4 linked regions of the Nothobranchius furzeri genome follow. The protein of the gene in region 3 interacts with the protein of the main gene of each other region in a pairwise test. Links are inferred from orthologs where the notes say so. Each region holds a gene or a part of one and is shown on either strand. Other genes may lie near its edges.

Evidence for each region. The genes of interacting proteins can lie anywhere in the genome.
Region 1: the proteins of trip10a (region 3) and abl2 interact in binary tests that used the Homo sapiens proteins (3 or more experiments, as listed by UniProt). The link is inferred for Nothobranchius furzeri from reciprocal best matches to the Homo sapiens genes TRIP10 and ABL2.
Region 2: the proteins of trip10a (region 3) and arhgap12b interact in binary tests that used the Homo sapiens proteins (3 or more experiments, as listed by UniProt). The two-hybrid records come from large-scale screens. The link is inferred for Nothobranchius furzeri from reciprocal best matches to the Homo sapiens genes TRIP10 and ARHGAP12.
Region 4: the proteins of trip10a (region 3) and wasb interact in a two-hybrid assay, tested with the Homo sapiens proteins (2 studies listed by BioGRID). The link is inferred for Nothobranchius furzeri from reciprocal best matches to the Homo sapiens genes TRIP10 and WAS.

The regions. Positions count from the first base shown.
Region 1 is NC_091748.1:56,978,552-56,982,561, forward strand, and holds the start of abl2 (tyrosine-protein kinase ABL2), read right to left. Parts: upstream 2,801-4,010; 5' UTR 2,291-2,800; coding exon 2,074-2,290; intron 1-2,073. UniProt on the Homo sapiens protein: Non-receptor tyrosine-protein kinase that plays an ABL1-overlapping role in key processes linked to cell growth and survival such as cytoskeleton remodeling in response to extracellular stimuli, cell motility and adhesion and receptor endocytosis.
Region 2 is NC_091751.1:39,509,299-39,513,251, forward strand, and holds the start of arhgap12b (rho GTPase-activating protein 12b), read right to left. Parts: upstream 2,801-3,953; 5' UTR 2,599-2,800; intron 1-2,598. UniProt on the Homo sapiens protein: GTPase activator for the Rho-type GTPases by converting them to an inactive GDP-bound state.
Region 3 is NC_091745.1:3,251,048-3,254,547, forward strand, and holds part of trip10a (cdc42-interacting protein 4 homolog), read right to left. Parts: intron 2,315-3,500; coding exon 2,168-2,314; intron 2,046-2,167; coding exon 1,857-2,045; intron 1-1,856. UniProt on the Homo sapiens protein: Required for translocation of GLUT4 to the plasma membrane in response to insulin signaling. Required to coordinate membrane tubulation with reorganization of the actin cytoskeleton during endocytosis.
Region 4 is NC_091755.1:42,288,305-42,292,345, reverse strand, and holds the start of wasb (WASP actin nucleation promoting factor b), read left to right. Parts: upstream 1-1,241; 5' UTR 1,242-1,377; coding exon 1,378-1,479; intron 1,480-2,073; coding exon 2,074-2,214; intron 2,215-2,345; coding exon 2,346-2,432; intron 2,433-2,509; coding exon 2,510-2,606; intron 2,607-4,041. Other genes in the region: sodium-coupled neutral amino acid transporter 3, read left to right, coding at 45-149. UniProt on the Homo sapiens protein: Effector protein for Rho-type GTPases that regulates actin filament reorganization via its interaction with the Arp2/3 complex. Important for efficient actin polymerization. Possible regulator of lymphocyte and platelet function.

The DNA of each region.
Region 1 (4,010 bases), on a different chromosome or scaffold from region 3:
ATCTTGGAAGCTATTAAAAGGTTATCCCTGTCCCAACACAGGAAAGAACTGAGCAGAACAGCAACAAAAGCGAGTGGTGCTGCACTTAACAAGCTTGTCTGTCAGTCTGTAACGACTTACTTCCACAGTGCAAGAGCCAGGAACTGAAAATACTTTCCATTGCCAAAAGGTTGCACCTTTTCTGTGTCCTAACTCACAGCAATGGACGAAGACAAATAAGAGTGGAAACTAGACAGGTCACGCCAGTAGTTAAACATCTTAACGCAATACAAACATCATCAAACGTGAGTAAAAGCCATCCAACATGCCATCAAGTACACCATAACTATGTTACATGCAAAGGTATGCAACAAATGGGAAGAAAGACTGATCAGTTATTGCACAACATGGAAAAATAACGGCAAGCCCTTATGATAGCATTGCCACTGGCTCTGACGCAGAAAGATTTGTTTTAAAACTTGTGATGTTGAGACAAGTAACTGAAGCCACCTCAGCCTTGTTGTTGTCATTTCAGGTTTTAATATTCTAAGAATAGACATCTATTTTATTAAATCAGAGGAGCTTTGAACATTAATTTTAAAAAGATCATATTCCATCCATCCATGTTCAGCCACTTATTCAGAGTCGGTCGCGGGGGCAGCAGCCTCAAACATAAACCAAGTTAGGCCCAGGTTCCCTCTCCTCTCCCCAGCCACTGAAGGCAGCTCCTCAGGAGGAATCCTAAGGCATTCCCTGGCCAGCTGAGAAATAGTCTCATCTGCATGTCCTGGGGCTTCCTTTAGGTCTCCTCCCAGCTGGATGTGCCCAGAAAACCTCACCAGGGAGGCGTCCAGGAGGCACCCTAACCAGACGCCATAGCCACCACAACTGGCTCCTCTTGATGTGGAGGAGCAGCAGTGGAGGTCTACTCTGACCCCCTCCCGCACGACCGATCTTCTAACCCTATCTTTAAGGAGAGCCCTGACACCCTGCAGAGAAAACTCAATTTTGGCCGCTTGTATCCGCAATCTCACTCTTTCGCTTACTACCCAAAGCTCGTGACCATAGATGAGGGTTGGAATGTAGATTGATTGGTAAATGGAGAGCTTTGCCTACTGGCTCAGCTCTCTTCACCACAACGCCCACATCACTGCAGATGCAGCACCAATCCGCCTATCGCTCCATCTTACCCTCGCTTGTAAACAAGAACCCAAGAAACCTAAACTTCTCCACTTGAGGCAGGACCTCATCCTTGAACTGGATAAAGCTCTACCATTTTCCGACTCAAGACCATGGTCTCAGATTTAGAGCATATTATTGAAATAGAAAAAAGTCACCAAAACAAAGTAGATAATTCTTTTGGATTAATCTTTACTAAATGTTATGCAACTGTAGACAATATTAGAAGATTCAAGTGAAAATTGCTGTATATATATACAGTATACTGTAATGTGAGCCACTGATGTAGTGAGTTAATAGAGTGGAAAAGCTAATGAAATGACCCCAGGCAAGAACACGGTTTCTAAACTAAATACCAGTGGATCCCAAACTGCTCAGGCTTCAACCCTCATAACAACGTGACTAATGCTGCCTGGCTGAAAGGTACAACTATTTCTAATATGCCATGTAAAAAAGACACAAACTGTCTCGAACCTATTATATTCGCTGTCACAGCTCAGCCGTCTAGTTTCTTTAAGTAAGAGTGAAGAAAGCCCGGCAGCAATCATTTAAATGTCATTTCCATGGATCATCTCAAGATCCTTGAACTTGGTGCTTCATGCATCGCTGTGGAGTTCCGGTCCCAGTTTGCAAGAACTGCCCTAAGGGCTTCCTCAAGCAGTCACAAAAAGTACTGAGGGTTTTCCCTCTCGTTTAAACCATCAAGGCAGTTCGGTGACCACACTGAATCGTGTCAACAGAGGAATAACAGCAGAATAAACTGGATGTGCCACCGAGAGCTAATGTGGGATGTCAAAACCATTTCCGCTAACGGGTCGTTGTCAAATAGCAGGGACTTGCTAGCAGAATCAAACATCAAAGAGAAAACACATCTTACACATCCACCCACGCATAAACATGAATCTTGCACTTTACCTGAATGCTGCGTGAATATATTTATTCCTGGGTCTGGTACGTTTACTGCAGCAGCCCTGCCCGGTGGTGTCCCGGTGCTGCTGCCGGGTTCTCGGGGTTTCCTCCCGGCGACGCTGCCCCGGTTCCCCTTCCCCTGGTGTGGTTGGGACGCGTGAGGCTGTGGTGGCTCGAGTCCGCTTGATGTAACCTCACCGACGCGGCCTACCTGCTGTCCCATTCCAGTAGTTTTGTCAGAGGACGTGTGGGACGAAGCAAGCAAACCTCCCCTGGGTACCTCTGGTTCACATTCCCCTAAGCTGGTGCGGCCTAACCCGAATTCTTTTCACGAATCCCCTCCCTGCTGCTCTCCGAAAGGAGAACGGCTCAGTGTTAGCTCGCCTGGCTAACGCTAGCAGCTACCACTGAAACCCACCTAGCCTTCCTCTAACAATAAAATCCCAGCAACGGTGCGAGGCAGCGATTATCTCCGTCCCGAATGTCCAGGCAGTAGCCCTGCAGTAATTAAAGCCACCCGACAAGCTCGACTTAGTTCAAGCGGACCTAATTAAAAGCGTTTGGCCGTTGTTCGGCCGCAGCGCGCCCCCTCTGACGCCGCCATCTTTACCGCAGAATATGTGTTGCACACGGCGGGTGGGGGGGCTCGCCTCGGCAAGCTGTCAGCGCCATCCCTGACCCGGTACCAGCGCCATCCCTGACCCGGTACCAGCAGTGAGAAAGCTGGATCTGTCTGGCCCCAGAGCGGACCACAAATGTGCAAAAGCTCCACAAAGAAAAGGACTTGAGGCTTGCACGATTATTTCGGGGGGGATGGGGATGGGGGGTAAATAATTCACCAATGTTAACATTTACAAAACGGCATATCAATTACATAAGAAAAAACGTATATTATATTCCACATTAGAGAAATATTTTATTTATCATATTTTAATATCAAATGGCACATGACCTGGTCATTGCAAAAAACAATCTCATTAAAGGCAAACTTGACATAACCATGTCAGCTCTCAAAAATATACCTCTTCTAAATAAAAATCCTCTGAAAATGTTTTCATCATTTGTAAACAATGTTTAAATAATTCAAAGCAGAAATAAATCTGACATTATGGAGTTGACAACGGTTTAAACCTGGCAAGTTCTACTCAAACACTTTGAAACAATATTAATTTACAGGTACCGTTTGGCTGATGTAAGGCGTGAGAACATCACGGCAAACCTTAACAGGGATAAAAAATAAATGCTTTACTATAGCGCCACCTGATGGTGATGCTCTATAATAGAGTTCTGCTGGATTTGGCACTAACATTGGCAGTCCAATAACTTTTTACAAAACAGTACAAACATGACCGTAATACTAATAATACATCAAACTTAAATAGCGCTTTCATGCACTTTCACACTCACACACTGCCAGTGATGGTAAGCTACTATGTAGCCACAGCCGCCCTTGGGCGGTCTGACAGAGACAAGGCTGCCGTCGGATCCTCTGACCACCACCAACACAAACATTTAAATTTAATTGATTGTATGATTTCAGTAACACCTATTTAATGGTGAGGATGCAAATTTTGTTTTCATAAAAAAAAGATCACCATCGTTTTAGCAGCAAGCTGCAAGTTTTTAAGGAAAATCTTACACTTTCACTTTCTAGCAGATCGACTCAGCGCTGATCGCAAAATACAAAATGTAAGTTCACAAAACGCTTTAAACACCTGTAGATCGTTACAACAGCTTATAAACTCAGTTGTAAATTATGTGTTTGACATCAATGTTCTCACTGACTTGTGCCCACCTCAGCAGCCATATTCATCATTAGATGTAAATATATGTAGTCCTTTAGGATCCACAAATCAGTTTGGTCATATCTATATGAGCAAAAACACCAAACACTGCTTGTTTGTCATAAAACACATGGAAAGTATAATAAATCTTTCCAAGCA
Region 2 (3,953 bases), on a different chromosome or scaffold from region 3:
TTCATGGATTATGTTTCACATTCTGTCTCTCACAGTTGAAGTGTACCTATGATGAAAATTACTGACCTCTGTCATCATTTTAAGTGGGAGAACTTGCACAATCGGTGGCTGACTAAATACTTTTTTGCCCCACTGTATACTGTTCCCTTGTCATGATGAAAATGCCACCTTTAATGTACAAACTGTTTTTAATCCACTTGTTTAGGATGATTTTAGGTCCTTTTTCGACTAAATCTGCAAGATGAGGCCTGTTTCCACTATTGAAACGTCCAGGTACCGTTACCGGACCATCGTGGCATACACACATTTCCATTTCACCGGGCCAGCCCAAAAACACCATTTGGTGAGCCACTTCAGGGACCAACTGAGTACCTGGAGTGGTGTATGCTGATTGGCTGTAACTCAGAAGGAAATGATGTCACAGATGTTACCAAACAACCAGCGATTATAAAACTGGAACAGATTCAGGTGAAGCAGAATGAAAGGAAAAGAAAAGCAGCGTTTATTTACTCTGCTTTAAAATCACCGTTTCTAAACTCGCAACACCAGAAAATGCAGCAGAACTTTATTTAGATGAGTGTTTACAACCCATTCTGTTTCCAGACAACAAAACTGGGCCAATATTTGTGACCAGGAAAGAGACAATTCCCTCTTCTCTTTCTCCTACTGGACCAGTGAAAGCTGTCACTGGTGTCGTCTTTACTCACTAGATGGAAACAAACTAATGCATCGACGTTTTAAAAGTTCTTTATAACCCGTGTGTCTAAAGAGGTTATTTGTAACGATTAATAATTAATCTTATTAATCAGAGGAGAGATGGGGAGGACAATGTCCTTAGTCATGTTTGCTTGCTCAGTCCTCTGATATTTGTGCAAAATACACCAGAAGTACATTTGCAAAAAATAATCTCTCGTTTGGCAGAAAACCAACACAAGGCTACCAACAAGGAGACAAACTCAACAAGCTCAAGAAATGTACAGCAGGAGAGAAACAAGTAGCTAACGGTTAGAGTGATTCACGCCCCCATGTAGAAAAGTCTCTCATTCATCGTCATATTTTAAAACGTTCCAGGTGAGTTAATGCATGATCTGTTGTGACAACCACACTGGAAACCTTTTCCTCACATTATCTGAAGTTCAAGGTGACTTGGGTTCAATATCCGTGTTGAAAATATAGTTAAACATTTGGATACAGCAATCACAACCTAACCTCTGCCTCACACGTAGACTGTCTGACAGGTTTTAGATGTAAATAATCACTTTGCTGGAAAAACACATTTAAATCCTATTTTTTAAGGAACTTGGGTTTCTTGCAGCTTCACTACAGTGTTTTCCATAACCTGTTTCTTGTAGAAAAGCCAGCACAAGTGACACTGAGCACATGATTTCATTAACATACCAAGTGTGCATTACGCTCTTGAACATAACTCTAGTTTCATAGTTGCTGCAGTTAGTCCCAGCTTCTAAGCTGTTGCAGCTGCACTGACACGTTGGTGATAACTTTGATCAGAAATAAAATGCATGTTCTTACAATTGCCGCACCAGATAGATTACCAAGTCAGCACCACCTGCAAGTCGTGGTTTCTTCTTTTGCAGCAGAGAACTGAGGCTGACACCAAAAAGGAACAGAGGAAGTGGCGTGTTGACCTTCACACAGCTTGGATTCAGCACAGGCTGCCCCAGTTAGGCACATCTCAACTCTCTGAGGTCCATTAGCCCTGTTATAACCACAATCTGTCCCACTCCAGAGAACTACAATCAGTGTAGCCCACTTTTAAATCTCAACTTCCAGTGTGCACAGATTCAGACAGGCATGCTGGGAGAGCAGGTAGTCCATTTCTCCTCCCACTCAAGAGGCACATCAACCAACAGATCTGGGAAAGAAATTAACCACAAAGATGGAAAAAGTCCACCACCAACCCATGTTTTATAAATTAAAGTTTCCTGATGGATCATATTAATTAAATGAATAACAAACACAAAAAGAATTGGCTGCTTAAGTATTTGAAATGACTGGTTACTTTAAATCTTCACTATTGTTTTACATTTACATAAATAAAACGGGACTACAGATTCGACAGCAGGAATGTGTCGCTGTGAGCTGAGTCATGCCCTAAAATACATTTTTAAAAAGCATGTTAACTGTTTTTATTTTTATCTCTATTGAGCGTAAACACAATGCTGTTTTTAAGGACTGGCTCTTGTGTGACTACATTTGGACTAAAAGAATGAAATCAGCAGGATTTCCTGACCGTGACGAGTTATTTTAGTAACTGTACGCCTTATTTTAATAGGAAACTTGATTTAAGAATGATTAGAACTCATGCTTATGGTGTAACTCTTGATTTTGTGTTGTGATAAACGAAGTTTAACCAAAACAAACACCGTTTCTGCTGTTTTCTGATGTTTTATCGTCTGTAATGTTAGGGAATAGTTTGTGTACTTTCAGCACGTTTCTCGTGGATTTACTTTTTAGTTAAGTTCATATTTGAGAACATTATCAACTAGTTTTTCATCTTTGTTGTAATTTGTCGCTAACACTAGCTAGCTAAATAGCTTGAGGGCTAAATTCCTGGTCGTCCCAAATAAGGATACGCACCTGAACGTCTCTTCTCTTCGGGAATCCGGGAACCCGCTGAACTTAAATTCCAGTAAACTTCCCCACCGAGTCGAACTAGCTTTACTCTTCTTAAGTTTGTCCAACACTCACGGTTCCGTCTCCCCGTGTCCGTCCCTGGTTCGTAACCTATAATCCGCCACAGCTCTTCTTCTCGTGAACTCGCCTGCAACTTCGACAACCACCTTTACACAAAGATAATCTAGTCACGTGACGTATCACTACGGAGATTTTTCTACAGAAACTAACGACTTACTTTATTTTTCTGGGAGTACGACAAATGTGGTGCTACTTACTACAGATATGCGGACAAACACAATATCTAAAGTAATTTTCATGACAGTGATTCTGGTCCCATGAGCTAATGTAAATAGTTTTAGCAGGATATTCTTCGGAGTGAGAACTCTTCTTAAAGGAGTGAACTGCGGCTCGAGCCCTCAGGTGTCCGGGTGGCAAGAGGAGAGTTAGCGCCGTCTAGCGGCAGTAATGCACAACATCAAAAATAATGTCCCATTTTGATAACTCTTAAAAAAACAATGCGTTTTCTGCATCTGCTTTAAAAAACGTATAAAAATATCAATGCCAAAATTAATCACTTATCCAATAAAAACATTTCTGAATTTTGTCAAACCAAAATAAGTAGATTTGGCCACAGAAAACATGTTTAAAATCAAACATCTTAAGTTTATGAAACCACTAATCTTATTGGTTATATCGCTTAAACCTCATTTACTTTCACACCCATTGGTTGAATCTTTTAGCAATCAGGGTCCTCTCTTGTGGAACCAGCTCCCAGCTTTAGTCCGTGAGGCAGACACCTAGTCTACTTTTAAGACTGGGCTTAAAACATTCTTATTTGATAGGGCCTATGGTTAAAATCTGATGTTAGCCCAGATCTGGACAAGTGGGGGAGTAGAGGGAGGTGGAGTGTACAGTCGGTAAAGACGGCTCTCTCTTGCCCTGCCTCCAACATGCCTCCATCTGAAAAGTTATTCAGAGTTATCTCTGTAGTTATGCTGCTATAGGCTTAGACTGCTGGAGGACATACTGACCACTTTCCACATTCGACTACTTTCTTCTACAATTTCTTTCTGTCTTTAACTGTATTATTTCCTGTTATTTCAGCTGTTACCGTTATTTTTTCTCTAAGTGTTTTTCTCTCCAGAAGAAGCTACAATGATGTTCTGCTGAGCTGTGGTAGCCTCATGGTGGGGACCATAGGCTTGAACACTGCTGCAAACCATTTAAACATTCTCCCTCCTGACAATAACATTTTACTTTCTTTGACATTGAATGTGCTACTACTAGTTTACCCGTTTAATTATAGATTAACTAGG
Region 3 (3,500 bases):
GAGGGGGTCTGCTTCAGGCCGACCAGGGCCAACACACCCACTGCTGACAGCAAATTCACACCTTCCATTAGAGCAAGCCTCTGATTGGTGGGTAGAATCAGCCCATTCACACCTTCCATTAGAGCAAGCCTCTGATTGGTGGGTAGAATCAGCCCACATGGGCTTAAGACAAGGATGTGTGGAATCAACCGGGCCAGGCTGGGGCCGACTGGGGCTACCCGGCCCGGGCCGACCCGGTACAGATGGGAATGGCCCATTACTTCCATTTTTTAAATCATTCTTTGTTTACGGCATTTTTCACACCTGCCTAAAACTTTTGCACTGCTGTAAAACAACCGAGCTCTCGGAACAACCTCAATTTAGAGAAACACAGATGAGTAACAATCAGAGCAACACGCCAACAGCTAGTCACATCGAGGCCAGCTCCAAAGTGTTCAAATCAACCCTAACATAAGCAGGAAACGCCAACTCACTGTAACCTTTACATTACCATAAATATCTAACTTTATAGGTCGGGTTTTTTCTGGCAGAATTATGATCAAATTCCAGCCAGAAACACAAAACTAATATATATAATAGCCCTCCATCCTCCAAACAGCCTAATGGGCTCGACACACGGGAGGCGACAAACGACCGCGAATCGCGATCAGCGAAATTTGTCGCTGTCGCTTTTATTAGCTGACACACGGGAGGCGATACGCGGCAGCGGCCAGCGGCAAAGCCGTCTACGCGTTCTGTTCCATGGCGAAATGGAAACTTCTGTTGTTTTGATTGGCTGTGTCAGGTTGGAGGGAATTAAGGTTATTTAAGTGGTTCAGAGTTAATAAAGCGGTAGATATGATGTTTCACAAGGTGCTGCTAGAGTTATGTGAAATCTTACTTCTGATTTTACTATAAAACATAATAATAATCAACTTCTCCTCCATGTTTGCTCGAAGATGTACGGAGCATCCTGTCCGCTCATTGGTCAGTGAATGAAACCTCCGTTGATTGGTCCTCGTCCCAGCAACAGCGATGAAAAGTTGAAAATGTTTGAACTTTCTGGGATCCAGTCGCTGGGTCGCCTGTGCACGGCACGTGCACGAGCGCAAAATTTCACACGCATGTTTTTTGCGTTTCGCTTGGTAGGAGGGAGACCCGCGATTATCGCTTTGTCACACATGTCTCATTGAAAATGAATGGAGGAGAGGCGATGTCGCCTCCCGTGTGTCGAGCCCATAAGACTGCCAACAAGGAAGAAAATCCAAGAGTTAACACAAATCTGTATCTGTGGGAAAACAGAGCTCAGAACTAAACTTGAGAAAGCGCAGGAAGTCATGGCAGGAAGTCAACAAATAATCTGACAGAGCAAAGAAATACAAGGCGGAAATGTAAACGGAGGTGTGACTGGACAAATAGCTGCAGATCAGTAAACCAGGAAAAGAACAGATCAACGTGGAGTCAGCCGATAGCATCTCACTTATTTTACTATAAAACAAACTAAAAATACAAAACTGGAGCTGAGGCCATCGCTAATCCCAAACAAGCTAAGCAAATACTGGCCTACTACTCAAACCAGGGGTAATGAAAACAGACATGACAGAAAAAGATGTTGCCCTTGTAACCTCTAGAATGCATTAAACATTGTGTTTTAGCATCTGTGACACCTGAAATCTTGCCACACACACACACACACACACACACATGGATTTCTCAGGCAGATTTATCTCACCAGATGGAAAAACTCAAGATTTTTAATCATTTGGATCAATAATTGTTTGACTATCAACTTTCAGACACACTTTTAGTCGTTCTAGCCTCTTTCGGTGTTTGTTTCCCGCAAATCGAAGGTACTCGGATCATGGGAAAACTCCTACCTTACTCTTCCTGGTGAAAAGCCAAAAGTTTTTGCTCTTATTCTTCCCCAGAAGGTCCATGGGGCCTTTAGGCGTACCCAGACTGCTGTCTGAAGAGGCTCGATTGATGCCTTGGCTGTAGTCCTCAAACTCCTGGTCTCCAGGTCGCTCAAAACCCGACTTATTCTGCTCTATCACAAACATTGTGTCCTATATAAAAACAGCAAGAAATGAAAACAAAGTTTTGTTTAGACAAGTGTACAGATCAAACCCATAAGCTGCATGACCTCGTGACACACAGTCAAATGTTCGATCTCTGAAAACCAACTCACATTCTTCTCATTTACGTTAGTGCCGGCTTTAGTAATGCCTTCCAGGCACTTGCCAATGATGGGCATCACATGTTTCTCTGTGTCTGAGAACAAGATGTAGCCTTGTGCTAACTTCCGTATTCGCCTCTCATCCAGATCCTGCAATTTCTAAAGGATACAGAAGAGTTACAGAGACCTAAAACTCCCCACATCTGAACACAAATCAGAAACGCTAACTCAGCCCAGATCAAAGTCCTGCTTTAACATTCCAGTCATCATTTACTAAACCATCACTGAGCTGCATCAACTACGATGACTCACTAGTGAGCGAGCTTCTACACTCAGAACTTTCTACTGAGGTCTTAAAGGTCAACGATGTTTTATGAAAACAGAAAACCTGGCATTCCCCCAGCCAGCTGACGGGGAGATCTTGCCATTGTAACCTTCTCTGCAACGTGATACACACATTGGACTGTTCTGTGACTACTTTACTGAACGATTCTTACATAGTTGACCTTTAAGGGCTGCAACGATTCGTCGATGTTATCGACAAATATCGACAATAGAAACGCCAGACGTGTTTTTTTCCGACCGAGTGAGGCATCTCACTTCATAACCCCCAAATTCCACTACCTCCGCTCCGCCCCCGCCTTCCGCAGCCGCTCGCTTCCGAACTCAATTTTTACTGGTACCCGCTCTACAACGGCTCCGCTCCGGTGCGGAGACCTGAGGTGCGCAAACAAGCATGCGCGGGATTTTCGAGATCTTGCGATACAGTCCGAGCAATAAACGCGGAAGTTAGATCCAAACACCCGTTGTGTGGGAGAAGCATCGACATGAACTGTTTAATCTGCCCATCATTTGTGTTGAGAGATCAGCAGTGTTTGGATCAACAAAGTGTGACTACTTTGACAGTAGAAACTGTATTTATGGCTTACTTTTGTGCATTTAAACTTCAGGCGCCATTGATAGTTGTTAAAAGTTGTGAAACCTGTGCATATGAAACAAAAAACTCCTTTTGTTTATCGATTTATTGTGAAATAACGGAAGTTGTGCTTGCTCCTTTTCCTGTTGGGCGGTTGTGATTCCTGTCCATTTACTGCGGAGGTGCTCCGGCGTCCGGCGAAAATAGGATCGATTCTATTTTTGCCGGACGCCGGAACAGAGGGAGGCGCACTGCGCCGCACTGCCGCGGCACGGCCGCAGTAGTGGAATAGCTCTGATTGACTACAACGGGACCGATTTTGCTGCGGAGTTTGTGGCGGAGCGGAGGTAGTGGAATTTGGGGGTTACAATCTCTGCCAAAAGTCGCACATGCACAATAGCTTCTCTGCTGGGCGCCAACTAACAGAAA
Region 4 (4,041 bases), on a different chromosome or scaffold from region 3:
TTCCTGTTGACTCAACATGTGGGATCCGTGCTCTCTGTTGGCAGGCTATGTGTTTTGCTGCATTAGGGTTCATCTTCATGATCTTGAGCCTGTCGTTTATCATCATCGGCTGGGTCACGGGAAAGTCTCGGAGCGGCGGTGGACACTAGCTAGCAGCTACAAGCCAAGACTGACCAGAGGAACTCCAAACAGCACGTCAACCAAAACTCACCCTGCAAACAAACCCCACCGGTCAGCCGAGTTCTCATCCGGGGTTTGGTGATTTACGACGAAGGACAACAGTGAAGAGCCTCGCCCAAAGGAAGAGCTTTCCTGATGGGTGCTGTGCGTTGACTGAATGCACCGCTCAGAGCAAGGATGCTGGTGGGGCCGTGAAGCAGGAGGACAAACGAGAACCAAAGCAGAAGTCCGGTTTCAGGAGCCGGGTGGAAAAACGGAGCCACTATCATTTACTTCCATAATACGTCATATAAGTTTTTGTTCATTAACTTTTACTAAACAAACATTCATTATAGGTTGTTCATTCTGTTAGTTTTTTATGTACAAGATTCTGGTAAGATGTTGCTCGGGTAACAACGAGGAGCTGATGGTCGGCATCGCCACGGAGGAACTTTATTTCACCTAAAGACAACTTTCTGTGTGATGAAACTCATTTAATGTGTTTTTATGTCTCCTGACGACTGACAGGCGGCTCTGTACAAGGTCATGATTTAGGTACCGATGCAACCCGGTGCAATATGTAGGAGATTATGCTGCTGTTGTCGACGGTCAGTCAGAGGGTTACTGATAGTTGTGTGACTCTGAAAGGTGGTTCACACAAGTGAAAAACTGTTTTCTGTTCGTCTCCAACCCACAAACCAAAGAGTATTTAACTGTTACGTTAAGAGAGAGAATGCATTGTTTTCCTGTCACATTCAGCTGTTCGATCAGTTAAATTCAACACCCAGACTGTTTCATCATTTCCTGCATTTACAATTCAGTTGCTTTTAATTGTTTTTATTGTACGACTGGACCAAACACCTTTGTTCCAGAGCCTGCGCGTTTTAAAAATGTATTTAAATGTTGTTTGTCAATAAAAAAAAGTCTCTTCTTTGTACTTCCTGTACATCTGATGCTGATTATTTATGCATGTAAACTCTGAGCTGGAGGGAAGCAGCAGTGCCCTGCCTCTGTCTGAACATGGAAGTGACACGTTCACGTCAGAGTGAGAGAAGACAAGTGGGGGTTAGAGAAGTGTGGCTGTCTGCTTCCTGCTTCGAGCTGATGCTCGCTCAGAACAGAGAAGAGAAACTTCCTGGATCGTAGAGAATATTCCGACCGCTGTCCTCTTCGTTTTAGACTTTTGATGCCGTTACATGTTGGTTTGTGAGAGGCGTCATGAGTCGTGGAGCTAAGAGTAAAACAGAGAGCGATCGAAGCTCTTTGCTGAGCCAACAGGAGAATGACATGTTGGAGGAGCTGCTGGGCAGAAGGTGTGCTGTAAGTTCTGAACCGGGAGGAAATAACCCACCGTTCAATTTATTATTCATCACTTCTGCTGCTAAACAAAACTAACGCATTCCGATTGCCTGCCTATATGTTAGATTTCCTCCTCTTTGAGCCGCTAAAACGTCACATGCTGAAGAGGCAGGCGTTAGCTGAGGCCTGTCTCCTAAAACATCATCCTTTTGAGTTGGGAACTGAAAGATCCTTTCTGTAAGCAGCTGTGAGTGATGTTAAGTTATTTGCTGTTGGGTCACCATGACGGAGGCAGCTGTAACAGGAAATGCTGGCTGGCTGGATTCTTCCTCTCCTGTCAGATGTAGACGCCATGGCTGGTTTGGTCTGACAGCAGAGCAGAAGTTTAGTTTTTGACTTCATTCGTCCGTAGGAGTAAGCTGGCAGAGCCGTGAGACATCAGACGTGTGTCAGGTGTAATCCGGAGAAGACAGAGAGCCTTTTGAGCTCTTATCACAAAAATGAGAGCAGAGGAGGAAGTTATCCACCAGCAACGAGCAAATTTACATGTCAACTGGGTGTGTGTGTGTGTGTGTGCGTGCGTGTGCGTGTGTGTGTGTGCGTGTGTGTGTTTAGTCCACAGCCACCGCTGTAGCACAGCTGTTCATGGCTCTGCCACACAGCCCGTCCACATGGAGCCTGCAGCACACCGGAGTGGTCTGCTTCGTCAAAGACAACCCTCAGCGCTCCTACTTCATCCGGATGTTCGATTTGAAGGTCAAATAAAGAATCTATGAGCTCATCCTCTCTAGGTTTTGTGACTGACGTCTCCGTTGGAGAAGCTGTGACTCAGATGTGACGGGAGTTAGTGAGGGGCAGACGCGCTGACCAGGCACTTTTTTCCACAGGCAGGGAAACGGGTTTGGGAGCAGGAGCTGTACGACCAGATGGCTTACTTCACGCCTCTGCAATACTTTCACACCTTTCCTGCAGATGTAAGCGCGCACTAATCACACAAGGCAATAACTGTGTCAGTATGAAATTGTGAGTGTGTGTTTGGGTGAGTTAACAGGACTGCCAGGTGGGCCTGAACTTCACGGACCAACAGGAGGCAGACGCCTTCCAGCATGCTGTCGTGGAGAAAATCAACCAGCGGAACAGCCGGATGGGTCAGCACGCTCCTGCTCCTCTCACTACAGAGCTTTAACCCTCCGGAGGCAGGCGTTGCAGATTAGCAACGTTAAAACCTACCGACCTGGTTTCTCCACATACGTGTTTCATGAGCATGTTTTAACTCAGGAGCACCCCTGAAGGACTTAGTTGTTCGTCCTTTTATCATAACTTACTTTGAGCCTGAGAGGGTTAAGCAGACGTTTAGAAGGACACGCTTCCATGTTTATATTTAGAACAGGTTTGGGTTATGGGCTCGGCTGTAGCACCCTACATCAATAGTAGTCAACGGGGGCGGATCTTCAGGGGGGAACATTGTTGTAAAGCCTTGCCTTCCTCTGCTGCCTCCCTACTTCTATGTCCTAAACGGTGTATTCACATCTGGGTCGGCCCGGTCCATCCCTGGCAGGGTAATTGTGTTCACATCGGGGTAATCTGTGTGTTTTCTGTGCTCAGCCGACCATTTTTTCCAGATCTCATCTCCAGCGGACAGCTTGGCACTGACAACACATCCACTTCGGACCGACTGGGTGGCCAAAGTTCATGTCTGCCTACAGAGAAAGCCTTTGATTGGCAAGCAGAATCAGCCAGTGCTGGCTTCCTGCATACATGATTCATAATCATTCTGGATGCAGTGGAGTAAACATCTCCTCCGACTGCAGCTCACACCTGCCGTGGGAGCACAAAGCCAGACAGCTGTGAGGAGCGCGTGGCGGTCTCAGTGAGACAGTAGGAAGCTGTGTGCTTCATGTCAGAGTCTCTCAAAGCAACGCAACTCTCAGCCACCTTTGTTTACTAATTGAAAAAAGGACACCGTGGACTTCTCCATGCATCTTTTGCCCCGCCTACATGCTCGGAGACGTCTACGTTCCTGAGAAGGCTGTGCAAACAAAACCTGGCCATGGTGGGATGGGCCAACCCAGCCAGGACCCAACCGGGCTGGGCCAGATGTGAAAATGCCACGAGTGATGGCAGAATCAGTCCAGCAGGGGCGGATTAAGAACTGAAGAACATCCGGGGCTTAACACACGCACACACGCGCGCGAACACACGCGCGCGCGCGCACACACACACACACACACACACACACACACACACACACACACACACACACACACACACACACACACGCACACACACACACACAAGTGACACGCACTAGTCAACATCATATATATTTGTCTTGTACCACATCATTTTTAATCTGAAGCTACATATTAAGCATTTTCAGGGCAGAGTATTGTTCCTGTTAGTGTTTAGTGTGAGATGATAGTAAATATTACCTTTCTTTCTCCAACAACTTTACCTGATAAGCTAACTTTAGGCAAACCAGCAGCACAACAAATATTTTCTAATAAGACTCACAAACCTGAGTCAGCACCAGTCTCATCAAAGCTGGGGTTCTGTCGCCGTACTTTTGGTCTAAAACGTCCT